3 linked regions of the Xenopus tropicalis genome follow. Each later gene encodes a partner of the first gene's protein in a complex. Links are inferred from orthologs where the notes say so. Each region holds a gene or a part of one and is shown on either strand. Other genes may lie near its edges. The genes, in order: gins3, gins2 and mcm4.

Region 1 (5,064 bases):
CATTCTAGCTAGACCCATGCTCCGACTTCTTTAAAGGTCTTTATTTAAATAGTGTGAATTTTTTAATAACTTTATTAATGATGTGAATTTCCAGGAAGTCAAAACTCCTAAAGTCTGGGTCCTGAATTGAACGGCTTTGCACTGAAGGGCACTTTCATGTTGCTTTGAATAGTACTGTGCTACCTAAGGAAGAAAATATTTTCATGCTGCAGCTAAATTTTAACATAAACTTGAAATAATTACCACAATGCAATAATTACCTGCAATATTGTCTTTGCAATTTCTGGGTTTTCTGGACTGTCAAAGTTGAGAAGTTGGGAGCCAAAGCCATAATAATGAGGTCCCATCTTGTGCAGGTCCACGACATTGGCATCAGCACTGAAAACAGTTCGCCAGCCTTCTCGGTAAATCTTTGGTAGCTCTACCGAAAGTACACGCCGTTTGTTGTCATAAAGACCTTTCGCCAGCCATAATGGAAGTTCCATTTTGCTACCCTAACAAAAAAGGAATTATTACAGTAATTAAGTTCAGTGGTCATTATGTATAACACCTGCTTGGATACAAAAGATGAAAACTGGTATTTTAAGCAAGGGAGGCTTAATATTTCATTATGTAGTACTGAATAAGGCAATTACATGGTAGGGTACACACTTCAAGCTTCAAGAGAAAATTAAAAACCAATTTTGCACACACTGAAGGAAAAATGTCTGCATTTTAGTGAAAAGAGACACGTTGCATTACACGGTTTGTACAAAGTATGCATAAGCTGACGCGCCCGTCAAGGCAGTGTCCTTGCGTCAGTCCTAACCTAGCGAAAAAGAGAGTATATTTTCTTTGGTGGAAGAAAGACCATACCTGCTTTTCTCTTTATATGGCATGACCTATTCCAAAGAAACCATTCCGCAATTAAGCTTATAAACACCTTCTTGCAAAAAAAAAAAAAACTGCAAGGCTATCCTTAAAGGGGCGAGGTTGGGAGAGCAAGCATTCAATTAGGGAATAGCCACTTCCCCTTACCACACAAATATATACAAAAAAATACAGCTCATCCCATGAATCAATCCAAACTAATTGGGTGCACACAGGTGAGTGGCTTGTATTATATACTATACACATTACCCAGGCACTCCATTATATAGCTTTGGTTTAGTTTTTAATTTTCTCTTGAAGCTATATAATGGAGTGCTGGAGTAATGTATATAGTATATAATATAAGCCAAGCCACTCACCTATGTGCCCCCAATTGGTTTTGATTGATTCATGGGATGAGTTGCATTTTTATAATATATATATATATATATATACATACATATACACATAAAGATAATTAGATAGATAGAGGTGCCATTTGCAATACTTTACTAGTACCAAAATGTTTCCATTACTTCATTACTTCAGATCAAATATTCTAATGATGTTCTTGAATGTGATTCACTTGTAAATGACAATTTTTTACACCAATGTCAAATCTAAATATACTATTTAACAGACTTTTCCTCATATCCTTCTGGTCTATGTACAGCCTGTTATGCACAACTGTGCTGGACCAATCTGTTCTCATTTATAAAACAACAACATTTTTAATTAACGTATAATGATATGTTGCTTTCAATTACATTTTCTTTGACATTTTTCCCTGTCCATTACGGAAATGGCAAACAAGGAGTTTTGTTACCCGTGGGTAACAATGTGGGGATCATGGCATGTAAATCACTTGAAAAGTTCAGGCATAAAAAAAAGCTGTATCACCGCATATAAACTATTTCAAGTGAAGGGAAAGGTAATTTCAGCAGATTTGTCATTTGTATGTAGCACAGATTCCCCACAGGCAACAAACCTTGTGTGCCAGTGCCCCTAAGGGGAAAAATAAGCATACATTAACTGGGTGCAAGCTATCCTTTTCGTTCTTTCTTTGCACAGCTTGCACTTATGCAGTAGAGTGAAAAGCTAAACTTTAACAAAAAAATGTTGCTTTTTCACTGTACTGCACATGTATTGGTCCCAGGATCGAGAAGAAAGAAGACAGGAGGAAGAGGATCGCTCGCAGTTACCCTGGCCCAGTTCTGCTTACAGGATTACTGGCCTGGGGTATCAGATAGTGATTACAGTCACTGGGGGTGCCTAGTATTTTGGCAACTCCCAGTAATTGTACCTTTACTACATCATAACCCCTTCTGGCTTCTTGTACTGGGTGCCCCAGACCAATTAGAAATTACCCAAATGTCCAATAGTTCTTAAGCCAAGAAACACTATTTAGAGCATTTTTTGGCTACAGAGTACCTTTACTGACACTGTCATGTCTACGGGAGGCAATAATTTGAAGTTATTTTTAGCCAGACAAAAAGTGCACCATGTACCAACAGCACTAAGACTGATGGCAAACCAGTTTACCCAGTCAGTGGAGAAACACTTGTCCATGCCACCTGCCTGTCACAGAACGTACAGGAGGATTTCAACCCATGGCCCAAGGTAAACCATTCTAAAACTGCATGCACTCAGTTGGAACACTCACTTCTCAGTTCTTGTGTTTTTCTGGAAGCACGGTCTCTTGTCTCCGCTTTAGCACAATAATTCCCCCCAGGCACACAGCATCTGTACTTAGTTTGCCGAAATGTGAGAATGAACTTTATTGGCCTACATAGAGTCCTAACCCAACTGAACACCTGAGGTTAACTGCAGGACAGTCTGTAACCCGGGGCTCCCCAACCTGTTTTTACCCATGAGCCACAGTCAAATGTAGTAACAGCTGGGGAGCATCCCTGGGGTACCGAATAAGAGCTGTGATTGGCTATTTGGTAGCCCCAATGTAGATTGGTAGCCTACAGGAGACTCTTCTGGCAGTAAACCTGGTTTTTGTGCAACCAAATCTTGCTTCCAATTTAAAAAAAGCACCTGCTTAAGGCCACTGGGAGCAACATCCAAGGGGTTGGCGAGTGACATGTTGCTCATGAGCCTCTGGCTGGGGATCACTGCTGTAAGCCATGCCTGTTTGCCCAGCATCAGTGCCCAAGCTCATTAATGCTGTTGTGGCTACACAGAACTTGACTATAATAGAACTGCTAAAGTAAACTCATTTTCAAAGGCAACACATTAAAACGCCCAGTGTTAATCCAATGGAATGAAAGGTAAATTTGCAGGAGCACAATGATGGATTGCCCATATGAATCCATGACCACCCAGAAAAGCTACATTTATTATTGCATCACCCAAAGTCACCTCAGGGATGCTGTCGCTGTCACCACCTTTCTCTAGGAAGCCGAGCCGAGGGAAGCCGCTCTCTACACGGCAAGGTAATTTTTCCTGTGACATTAACAAATCTTCTATGGAAAGGAAATTCTCCTCCCTGCCCAAGCCGGGCTCAACTGGCATGTAGGGTTCCCACATTATGAATGATATCCTCTTCTACCAATCTGCAAAGGGAACCAGCTAGCGAAAATGGCTGCAGCACCACAAATTGAATGAATCTCCCGCGTTGCTGCGGTCCTGCCCACTACCGCGTCTCAAGCCTCGTTTTCATAGTGTCATGTATTCTGCTGTAGTCTGAACTATCGTGAAATCTTGTGGTTGTTTGGTTTTGATTCAATTAGTGTTTGTTTTCGGCTTGGTAATCTGATTAATAACATCATTGTTTAAGTTGTGTAATACAATATTATTTTAGCCTTATAATATTCCTTAGTTTGGAGGAATGAGTTTGCAATTGCAGTCGTCTGAGCCTTGCTAGTACTACGATGATGCAGCAGTGAGTGTTAAGGAGTGATCATTTCCTTAACCAGGACTGCGTTTGAGATCATAATTCTATCTCCTGTGGAGCTGAGAGACACAGCTTTAATTAGGGTTGCTACCGTTTATGGAAAAACATACAGGCTTTCCTATATAACAATGGCTCAAAGCCACATTTTTACCTGCTAGTCCGTATAATAGAGGTTGTCAGACTTTTTCAGTTTAAGCCCGAGTTGGAGGTTCAACCTTTTTCTCTGCATAGCCCCGATAATATCTTAGACAGCAAATACGTTGTTACCTTGAATCGGCAAAATAAACGTTCACCCCATGCCTCATCTTAATTGGCCTTCAGGGTCTGCCCACCACTGCCTCAAGCCACCCCAGAAGGGCCAGCTGCACAATTGTTGAAACCTTTGGTATACATGAATCTTCACAAATGATAAGGACATTGTCACGATCACGCCACTCTTAGACGCACGTGACACTGGGATGAGGAAACGGGGTTACACTCAGTAAGGTTACCTAAGGTTAGACTAACATCAGACACCCCCAAACACACCACCGCCCCAAATAAATATTCAGTGCTCTCTACAACAGGTACTATTTCCCAATACACAACTGTATCACACACTCTCACTGTAGTTAGGGTTAGTGTCTACTAATTCAACAAGCACTCTAGCAGCCAAAAGGTTAAATTACAGTCAAACATACTCTCCTGCTAGCAGTCAACTAGTTAATTAGCCTATACACAGACAACTTTCCTTCTACACACAGACAAGCTGTTAATACAGTTAGCCCCAAGCGTTCATACAAGCTACGTGAAATCTTTTTAGAGCAACCGGACAAAACTTATTAAATTTTATATTTAATATTACAAGAGTAAACAGTACATATTAAAAGATATTACAAAAAGAGACATACACGTAAAATTGCAAACAGTAAATAAAATAAAAGGGAATAAAACACAGAAACCCTATTTACTTTACCAAGTTAGGAATTTCCTTTGTGTCCTCCTGAGGCAAGAGTTTGGAAACCTGAGCCCACACCCCAACAGAATTGGGACCTCAGGTATGAGCTGTTAGTAACTGGGTCTTTTGCCCTTTTATCCCCTGCTTGGACCCTTCCTCATTACCGCATGCATGAGGGGGGAGTGCCCAGGAACTTATCACTTATGACCTCCTGTAGAGGACTGCAATTCTCAGGCCAGTTTCTTGTCATATAATATTGGCACTTGACAGTATCCAATATTATTATGAAAATATGGGCTTGCTTTAACCCATATGTGGGTGATCAGAAGGATACCAAACATGAAAACTATCCCCCCTAACTGGTGGGTATTGGCTG
Region 2 (5,056 bases), about 11 Mb from region 1:
TGCTTTAGGGATATTGTCTGCAGCACTGGAAATATATGTATAGAGAGAGGGGGGAAAAGTAAAAACAAACATGATCAGGTCCAAAATCAGAAAGGCAGGGGTTATTTAAGGGATGTGGGGTATGAAAGACAAATTCTTTCTCCATCTGCTCTTCAGGAATTAGCTAGAACATATGTTACAGATAAAAAACATAAAAGTTAAAAGCTATATCAGCTTGCCTGTGGCAGACTTCCAGGCCCTTTGGAACCTGTCTGGAGGATTTACCCATTCCCCCTCCACCATGGGGCAGATTTATCACAGAAAATTCACCCACTTTCTAATCATTGCTATGGGATTTTTAGAAGCGAACTTTCACACATCGATAAATATGTAATCCAATAGGAATGAACAGAAAGTAAGTGAATTTTTCTGTGTTGAGCTCTAATTCACATTTTGCTAAATCTGCCCCCATGTGTTGTACCTCTCAGTAACTGATACATGAAGAACTTCATCTCCTTTTCTGTTACTGGGTATCAATATCAAGAGTCCTTATACTTTGGTGGCATAGACAACATGTTTTTCATTTTGATTTACTTACTGATTTAACAATAGTTTAGTAAGTTCCATATAATATGGACTTGGCATTGGAGTAAATGTATCCTCTCTGCGTTCTTGATCTTTGATAGCCTCTAGTTTATCTAGATAAAGAAAAAAAAAAAAAGAATAAACAACCCAGACAGAAATCCTAACATGTTTCTTATAAACCATAGGTTCCCATCCTGCCTGGGTGGCTCCACTAGGAGGGCCCAGATTAGTGGCAGGGAGAGAGTCAAAGACAATTTGGAGGTGGTTTGCAGTAAATGCTAATTTGCTGCACTGGTTACTATTGGTTTAATGCCATCACAAGTCATTATCTCTAAGTTTGTTATAACTGTAACCCAATAAGTCAGTGCAATTTCATGCCATAAAAAAAAGCAACAAAGCTTTCAACAGTTAACCTACTTACCGACATCCATCCACTGTGGAGGGACAATGCGACATTTCTGCCTTTGTTTAAGGTTGATGGCCAACCATAGAGGAACCTCTACAGGTAAACCAGGATTAAAGGGACCCAAGTCACCCTGTTCAGGTAAAAGAGATCCGTTAAGCAGCAGTACACTAAACTACTGTTATACTACTGTATAAGAAGAAACAAAAACTAAAAGAGATGAGAGAGTTATAGAGGTATCAGAATATTAGAAAAGGAATGAATATCTGCAACAAAGTTTTTATTTAAATAAGTATAGGGAAGGATTGCCATTATATAGGATAGCTATATAACAACCGCAGACTGACTTAAAGGGACATGTCACCCAGACATAAAAAGCTGAACAATAGTAAACCCAAATTATTTTTTGATCAAAACATCCATACATGATATAAAGATGTTTAAAAATATCAGCTGCCAATCACACATTGCCTGCCCCACCTCAGGCACTGAGTTGGGACTCCTAGAGACTGGACCAAATTTTGTGTTTAACAACTGGAACATATTGCATCCATAAAGTGGGACCATCTTGAATCACCCTGTATAATCTACAGTATACCTACATATAGTAGAACCATATAATCTATAACAAGTATACACGGGCCCATACCCCAGCTCTATATAATCTATAACAAGTATACACGGGCCCATACCCCGGCTCTATATAATCTATAACAAGTATACACGGGCCCATATCCCGACTCTATATAATCTATAACAAGTATACACGGGCCCATATCCCGACTCTATATAATCTATAACAAGTATACACGGGCCCATATCCCGACTCTATATAATCTATAACAAGTATACACGGGCCCATACCCCGGCTCTATATAATCTATAACAAGTATACACGGGCCCATATCCCGACTCTATATAATCTATAACAAGTATACACGGGCCCATATCCCGACTCTATATAATCTATAACAAGTATACACGGGCCCATACCCCGGCTCTATATAATCTATAACAAGTATACACGGGCCCATACCCCGGCTCTATATAATCTATAACAAGTATACAGGGGCCCATACCCCGGCTCTATATAATCTATAACAAGTATACACGGGCCCATACCCCGGCTCTATATAATCTATAACAAGTATACACGGGCCCATACCCCGGCTCTATATAATCTATAACAAGTATACACGGGCCCATACCCCGGCTCTATATAATCTATAACAAGTATACAGGGGCCCATATCCCGGCTCTATATAATCTATAACAAGTATACAGGGGCCCATACCCCGGCTCTATATAATCTATAACAAGTATACACGGGCCCATACCCCGGCTCTATATAATCTATAACAAGTATACACGGGCCCATACCCCGGCTCTACATAATCTATAACAAGTATACAGGGGCCCATACCCCGGCTCTACATAATCTATAACAAGTATACAGGGGCCCATACCCCGGCTCTATATAATCTATAACAAGTATACACGGGCCCATATCCCAGCTCTATATAATCTATAACAAGTATACACGGGCCCATATCCCAGCTCTATATAATCTATAACAAGTATACACGGGCCCATATCCCAGCTCTATATAATCTATAACAAGTATACACGGGCCCATATCCCAGCTCTATATAATCTATAACAAGTATACACGGGCCCATACCCCGGCTCTATATAATCTATAACAAGTATACACGGGCCCATACCCCGGCTCTATATAATCTATAACAAGTATACACGGGCCCATACCCCAGCTCTATATAATCTATAACAAGTATACAGGGGCCCATACCCCGGCTCTATATAATCTATAACAAGTATACAGGGGCCCATACCCCAGCTCTATATAATCTATAACAAGTATACAGGGGCCCATATACTTCTATCTCACTATATAATTTAAGACTAACTAGCACCATGTTTCTCTTTCGTTACTAAACTGCTTATTACAAAGCATGGAAGCCTGACAAGTTCGCTTTTGCTCACCCCAATAAGATAGACCTTGTCCAGACTAAAGTTGGGAATGACAGTCACTTGCTCCTTTTCAGCCAAGAACTCGACCTCGGAGGCATCCATGACTGAATCTCCCGCTATCAGCGATAGGAAGGGGCGGGGCTTCTGCCGGAGCAGAGGAAATCTCTACGCACAGAAGCCCCGCCCATGGGCGGAATGTTGAGGGCTGGCGGTGTGGGGTTGCCTAGAAACGGGACGCTGTAACCATAGTGGGTGCCGCAGGTGTAGAACAGAAATCTGGGGGCGCCTGGGTGTAGTTGCGGCCGGTACCATACAGGATGCCTCCCAAAAAGAAAGGTAAGCGAGGGCCCAGCGCCAAGACAAAGGAGAAAGAGACTGTAAGGGTCGCATCGGAGGGCGTTACAGAGCAAACGAAAGATTTTTATACAGTGCAGATCCGAGATCTGGAGAAACGGCTGGAACGGTGGGTTCTATTTCTTACCCAAATGTGTAACTCATGGGATGGGTCTGGTGCTACATTAAAAACCCAGTGCAAGGTGATTAGCGTGAGGGGACAAGGGTTTAAGGCAGTGGCTCCCAACCTTCCTAATGCCCCGCACTTTAATACAGTTCCTCATGTTGTGGTGACCCCCCAACCATAAAATCATTCCTAAAACCATCGGAAATATGTTTTCTGATGGTCTTGGGCCGGAACTAGGGGTAGGTAGAGTAGGTGCCTGCCTAGGGCGCAATCACTGGGGGGCGCACATTAAAGGGGAAATCATTTTTTTGTAGTAGTATTTTATTAGTTCTCTTTGACTGTAATAGAATCACCGTCCCAACCCCCCTCTGGCATGTTGTATTTCCTCTTCGTTTGGGACCCAGGAGCAGGTCCGGCTGGGCCGCCGGGACACCGGGAGAAATCACGGTGGGCCCCGGCGGCCCAGACCTGTCCCTTACCTGTGCTCCCCCTGCCCGACTGCTCCTCCCCAGCTAGTAGCAGGTTACAGTAGTCTAGTCAGGATAGGGTGAGAGCATGCATGGGCATCTTAGCTGTTACTTGTGTGAGAAAGGGACAGATTTTGGTAATATTGTATAAGAAAAAGTGACAGGTTTTGACAGTTGTGTTAATATGGACAGAAAAGAAGAGGAAGAGTTAAAAACTATCCCCAAACTGAGTTGACAGGGTTAATGAGAGTGCCATCAGTAGATATAGTAAAGGGGGGAGTAGTACCAGACTTAGATGACAAGATACGTTTTCATTAGGTTCAGTTGCATCCATGTTGGTTAATCAGACAAGAGAATCGTCTGAGTGGGTCAACAATGATCCTGAATTCTGGGAAAATATGTTGCATTGTTCAAAAAACATGGTGATTGTGCTGTAACCTTAACTTTGTTTACTGCACCTCGGTAAGTGAATTTGTCTTGTGTGTGTGTACTCTTCTAGGTTGTTGTGTAGAATTTCGTGGTGCTATACAATGTATTTATCATATTCTTAGGTACCAGAGTAAATGGGATGAAATCTGTGCAAAGGAGCAATTGAAGGAGGCTCAATATGAGCAGTTGTCTAATGACAAAAAGGAGATTGTCTCTTTCCTAAAACGTACCCTAAACCAACGCATGGATGAAATTGCTGACCTGAATGACCAGCTCTTGGGGCTCCAGCAGGCCAAGGATGCAGAAAAGGATGCGTATGAGTCCCAGCTGACTCAGGTGCGACATGAATTGCAAGACACCAAGGAGCGCCTCACCTCAGAGAATATGCTTCTAGGTAACAGTACACTTACTTTGATCCACATTATCCTGTACCTTATCTGTTTGTATCTGTTTGTCCCTTGCAGCCCATCGCCAAGCGAGCGGATCTTCACCTGATATCCCCACCTACGGGTGGGCGATATCGGGTAGCAAGTAGCTAAAATAAAAAATAATCCGATCCTTTGGCCCTGGGGCCAAACGATCGAATTACATTTGCGGCCATGGGGCAGTCAGTTCGGGGACCGCATCAACGAGCTGATGCGGTCCCCGATCCGACTGGATTTTCTAACCTGGCCGATCGAGATCTGGCCAATTTCAGGCCAGATATCGGTCAGCCAGGCCGCTCGGTTCTGCCCATACACG
Region 3 (4,280 bases), on another chromosome or scaffold:
CTCCTAATTTCCCAACCACAAAGACAGAAGTTATACCTTTTTAATATCTTCATGCTCATATATACTTGGTGCAAGAGCTGAAGCAAGCCTCTCATAGATGTCTGGTTTTGCTGCAAGTTCTTTTAACATTGCAACCCTTTCTTCAGTGAACATCTTCTGTTCTGTGTCCTCATCAATACCATGCAACCGCTTTGCATCAGTTTTTCGGTAATGAATAACATCAATGTGAGTTTTGTAAACAGACTTTACATTTCGAACTCTAGGGTTAACTCGAATTGGGACAGCTCTGTAAATACCTGGAGAAATAAAACATTGAAGTTGCTAAATAATTAGTTATTTCCACTGTGACCAAGCAGTTTAGTGCTGTTAAAACAAACTGCTTGCTAGTTAGTACTCAACACAAATGTGATTATTTTGCTTTAGTAGAACATCTTTTTCTTCTGCTTTCTAGGTTGCCCAGCATAACATGAAGAAAGCCAAAAATATGAAGTCTATGTAACAAGTCCTTGATAGTCAGCACCATAAAATCAAGAGCAATTAAAAGTTTATCAAGAAGCCTTGTGGCAAACTAGCAAGTTTGAATATGAATGGTGTTTTCCTCCCTAAGCAATTTACAGATCAGAGCGATATAGAACCGTGGGATCTCCACCCATTGCATAATGAATAAAGATGCAATAATAATTTTAAGCAACTTTGTTATTTACATTATAAATTGTCAATGTTTTTAAAAAGGCATCAGCAATTGAAAGCAGTTCTCTCTTTTCCTTTCTTTTTCCAGTTCTGAATCTTAAAGGGAAAGGAAAGATTAGTATAGAGTTAACCACTATTTAAAGCCACACCTATAGTGATGCCATCTGTCCTTTCTATTTTCCACTATTTTAAGCTCCTTTTCTTTGCAATCCCCACATTGTAGCCAAAACTGCTCACTTCATCTAGAAAAATGCAACAAATCATTTAAGGCAAGTAACCTGCCAGGCATGTGAATTCACAGATTACCCACAATTTATTTTGATCATCATGGGTGACCTGCAATATTGGCCAGCAGGGAAGTCCCCCCAGAAAAAAAAAAAAAAAAAGTAGAAACTGCCTAGCATGACATCAGAGTTACCACTTATTTGGTGCACTAGATGTTACTGGAACTTAAATAAGAGTGGATGAAATAAGCTTCTTAAAATAAGATGTAAAGAAATTATAACATTTGAATATGTGGCACTATTAAGACTGTTGCAAAATATGTTCTGCAGTACAAATGAACATACCTGTGACATTCACTCTATCACCAGGCTGTACCTTATCCACCAAGTCATTATGACCATAGAGAATAGTTGTATGAGGGGTCTGACCAGCAGGCATATCTTCTGGAGACTCTTGCAGTTTAATCTAGGAGTATAGTATAATGAGAATCTACTGCATAAGAAATTATTTTCAAAACATTGTGGCACATCCATAGAAGATATGCAAAATGCATATATTCCATCTTCACAAAATATGTGGTTAGCAAATGTTATGAGATAAAAACTTACCATTTGCTTGTCTGAGAACATAGAGCGATTGTGAATAAGAGCCATGCTGTGTGTGGTGTTGCAGTGTTTGCAGACTGATGGCTCTGAAATGCGACCACGATCAATCTCCACTCTAGTAGTAAAGGCACACACTTGACATTTAAAAAATGCTTCCTGCATCTCTGGGATGATTTGAGAAGTTCTGATAACCATGCCACTAATTGTGATAAGCTGATCAATATCTAGGGTGAAAAAAAAAAAGTGTCATTAGCCTAACTTATGTTTATAAAAGCAACCTGACAACCATGAAAATAAAGTCCAATTTCAGATGCTGTTCGTTTCTCACTCAATTGATAGGAAGCAACAGTGGAACACTAAAACTAGTCTAAGACTAGACATGACTCAACAACATTGAACATATTTTATTACCTTCTGGATTTAAGCTTCTCATATTTCTAGTTTTCAATGCATTATAGGGTCTAACTTGAATCTGGTGCTCTAAAATGGAGTCAGGGTACCGCTCAAAGAAAATCTCATTAGCAGCCATATCAAATGTTGGAATAACTTCCTAAGGGGGAAAAAAAAAAAAAAAACAAACAAATTAAGAGCTTTTTCTGATTTTTTTTTTTTTTTTTTTACATATATTAACTTCACAACAGGCTGAAAATCATGGCTTCTAAAAACATATGTAATTATTAATTTTCCTGAAAGAACAGTAACATAAATTACCTGTGGGTAGCAAACCAGCTGCCTGTAAAGATCCTGATCAAAGCTTCTGAGATGGTCACAGTCAACATTGAGAAATGGCTCACCTACTACATTTATCTAAAGGGACAGAAAATAAAATTTAGGATTTCTTAGGTTTACTGGAAGAAAAATACTACATTTTTTTTTTTTTTTAAAAACACACATACCTCTTCAAGTCGCTGCATATATATAGGCTCATTCAGATCCAGTCCTACATTTTCCTCTTCTTTAGCTAAAGGATCAATGAATCGCTGAACAAAACGCTAAATCATAGGAAGAGATACTTAAAGGTTAGAAAACGGCACTGAAATTACAACTCAAAATTCTAATTGATCCAATTTAAAAAAAAAATTAAAAACATGAAAATGTAAGGACTGGCCAGTTGTTTACCTGAAACTTTTCTTTGCAAGTGGCAACATTGACATCAGTTCCCCAGATCACCAGCTTCTGTCCCAAAGATTGCTCACTCGTAACCAGCTCCTCTGCAGCAGGCTTGAAAAAGCATAATTAGAATTATTATGTTGACCAAATACTCATTTTGTAAACAACCTGTTATGGAGCTTAGGATACTTACTTGGTCTGAATGTAAATCCACCTGCTTAACTTTGCGTGCTGATCCCAAGTCAGGTCTCTGTCGAGCAGGAGTCCCTCGGATACCACTTCTAGGGGTACCCTCAACTCTTGAGCTAGGGGTGCCATAAGTGAGAGGTGAGCTGAGATCAAGCTCACTTTGAAGGGCTGTAAGCAAAATACATTTGGAAAAGTTAGAAATCATATCTTTAATGGGTTTACACTTTTTACAATTCTTAGTAAAACACCTTAGTTACTCATGTGAGCTCTCTACTAAATCTTATTCAACAAATCTAGTGAAACAGGGATCAACCATAGCCATACAATAAAATAAATGATAATACTAGAATTGTGGTTACTTTTGAAGGCGGTACTTTTCATAGGAGTAGTAGCACATAGCCTTTTTGTACCCAATGAAGTCTTAGTTAGTATATAATTATAAACTGGTAAAAACCAGCAGCAGAAAACAGGCATTTTCTAACAAAATATCTAAAAATGGTTCAGTATTTTCTAATCAACAGACTAAGTGATTGTCATTAGTAAATACTTTGAGGGCATTTTCAATTCATAGTATCACTGGCCCTTTAATGTCATTAGGGCACATCCAGTAGCAGTTTTTGGAATTTAGTAAAAAAAAAAAAAAAAAAACACTTTTACTAATTTTTTTTTTTTAATTATTATAGGGACACCAAGTATACAAAAACTCAGATTTGGGGAGCAAGAAACCCCCCCCCACAAATAAATACAATGTTGTTATAATGGGAACCTGCATGCTATGGTAATTGAGGAAAAATGTGTTCAGCATACCAGAATGCCTTGATGGTGCAGGGCTAGAAAACATAAGCTCTTGCCCGCTGGGGCTCTGAAGGTCCCCTGAAGGTGAGGTTGGCATGGGCAGAAGTTCGCCAATAGATGTGGAATCTTCTGTCCGACGTCTCTGCGATGGAGGAGACTGCACTTCCTCTCCATGAGCTGCAAAACATTGGGAACACAGGGAACAGTCACATAAATATAATATTGTATTGTCATTGTATGTATTATCAAAAAAAAAAAAAAAAAAAAAAAAAAAAAAGGGATTTCCAACAGCACCAGGCCATGTATATATCCAGAAAATATATCCTAATAGGTTTATTTTTCTGTGGTATTAACGGTGTGTGTGAAAGTCTATAGGGGATCATGATAATTTCACCATGGTAGTTATGGTATAGACTGAATGGAGGCCCCCATTAGAGCATACAAAAGTGATTTAAAGGAAGGATATCCCAGTTTCCAAATGTGGTGCTTGGTTGTCTGCTAGGTGCGTCACCAAGGGGTATACAACTTGCACTTCACTATATAAATTGCTTGTCTCCATCTCTCCCAAAGATGTGTTTTCTTACCACCCACACTGGCTGCCATCTTTCCCATATACACACACCTATGTTCCTTATTAACACATTACAGGTAAAGGTAAAGCAAGTC

The links.
Region 2: the proteins of gins3 (region 1) and gins2 are in contact, whole or in part, in a crystal structure (PDB 2E9X), measured with the Homo sapiens proteins. The link is inferred for Xenopus tropicalis from reciprocal best matches to the Homo sapiens genes GINS3 and GINS2. Residues at the interface, in NP_073607.2 of Homo sapiens: Leu13, Gly14, Tyr117, Ser121, Leu124, Asn131, Ala132, Ser135, Gln136, Leu138, Leu139, Gln140, Phe142, Ile143, Phe146, Arg147, Ile149, Met150, Asp151, Ser153, Gln154, Ala156, Met171, Gly174, Leu175, Thr178, Gly179, Gly182, Leu183, Asp185; in NP_057179.1 of Homo sapiens: Asp2, Ala3, Ala4, Glu7, Met93, Glu94, Lys97, Asn101, Trp121, Ile125, Arg129, Val130, Ala132, Asp133, Val136, Arg137, Gln139, Met151, Thr155, Ser156, Thr158, Phe159, Leu160, Gln162, Ala163, His166, Met167, Lys169, Leu170, Arg171.
Region 3: gins3 (region 1) and mcm4 share a complex: the UniProt entries of both Homo sapiens proteins name them as parts of the CMG helicase complex. The link is inferred for Xenopus tropicalis from reciprocal best matches to the Homo sapiens genes GINS3 and MCM4.

The regions. Positions count from the first base shown.
Region 1 is NC_030680.2:75,817,751-75,822,814, reverse strand, and holds the start of gins3 (DNA replication complex GINS protein PSF3), read right to left. Parts: upstream 3,389-5,064; 5' UTR 3,385-3,388; coding exon 3,217-3,384; intron 495-3,216; coding exon 261-494; intron 1-260. UniProt on the Homo sapiens protein: Required for correct functioning of the GINS complex, a complex that plays an essential role in the initiation of DNA replication, and progression of DNA replication forks.
Region 2 is NC_030680.2:64,843,544-64,848,599, reverse strand, and holds the start of gins2 (DNA replication complex GINS protein PSF2), read right to left. Parts: upstream 3,063-5,056; 5' UTR 3,062-3,062; coding exon 2,972-3,061; intron 1,101-2,971; coding exon 986-1,100; intron 678-985; coding exon 578-677; intron 26-577; coding exon 1-25. Other genes in the region: cfap157 (cilia- and flagella-associated protein 157), read left to right, coding at 3,277-3,422, 4,438-4,709. UniProt on the Homo sapiens protein: Required for correct functioning of the GINS complex, a complex that plays an essential role in the initiation of DNA replication, and progression of DNA replication forks.
Region 3 is NC_030682.2:113,241,270-113,245,549, reverse strand, and holds part of mcm4 (DNA replication licensing factor mcm4), read right to left. Parts: intron 3,792-4,280; coding exon 3,627-3,791; intron 2,988-3,626; coding exon 2,824-2,987; intron 2,742-2,823; coding exon 2,640-2,741; intron 2,513-2,639; coding exon 2,417-2,512; intron 2,328-2,416; coding exon 2,232-2,327; intron 2,071-2,231; coding exon 1,932-2,070; intron 1,745-1,931; coding exon 1,524-1,744; intron 1,381-1,523; coding exon 1,260-1,380; intron 297-1,259; coding exon 37-296; intron 1-36. UniProt on the Homo sapiens protein: Acts as a component of the MCM2-7 complex (MCM complex) which is the replicative helicase essential for 'once per cell cycle' DNA replication initiation and elongation in eukaryotic cells.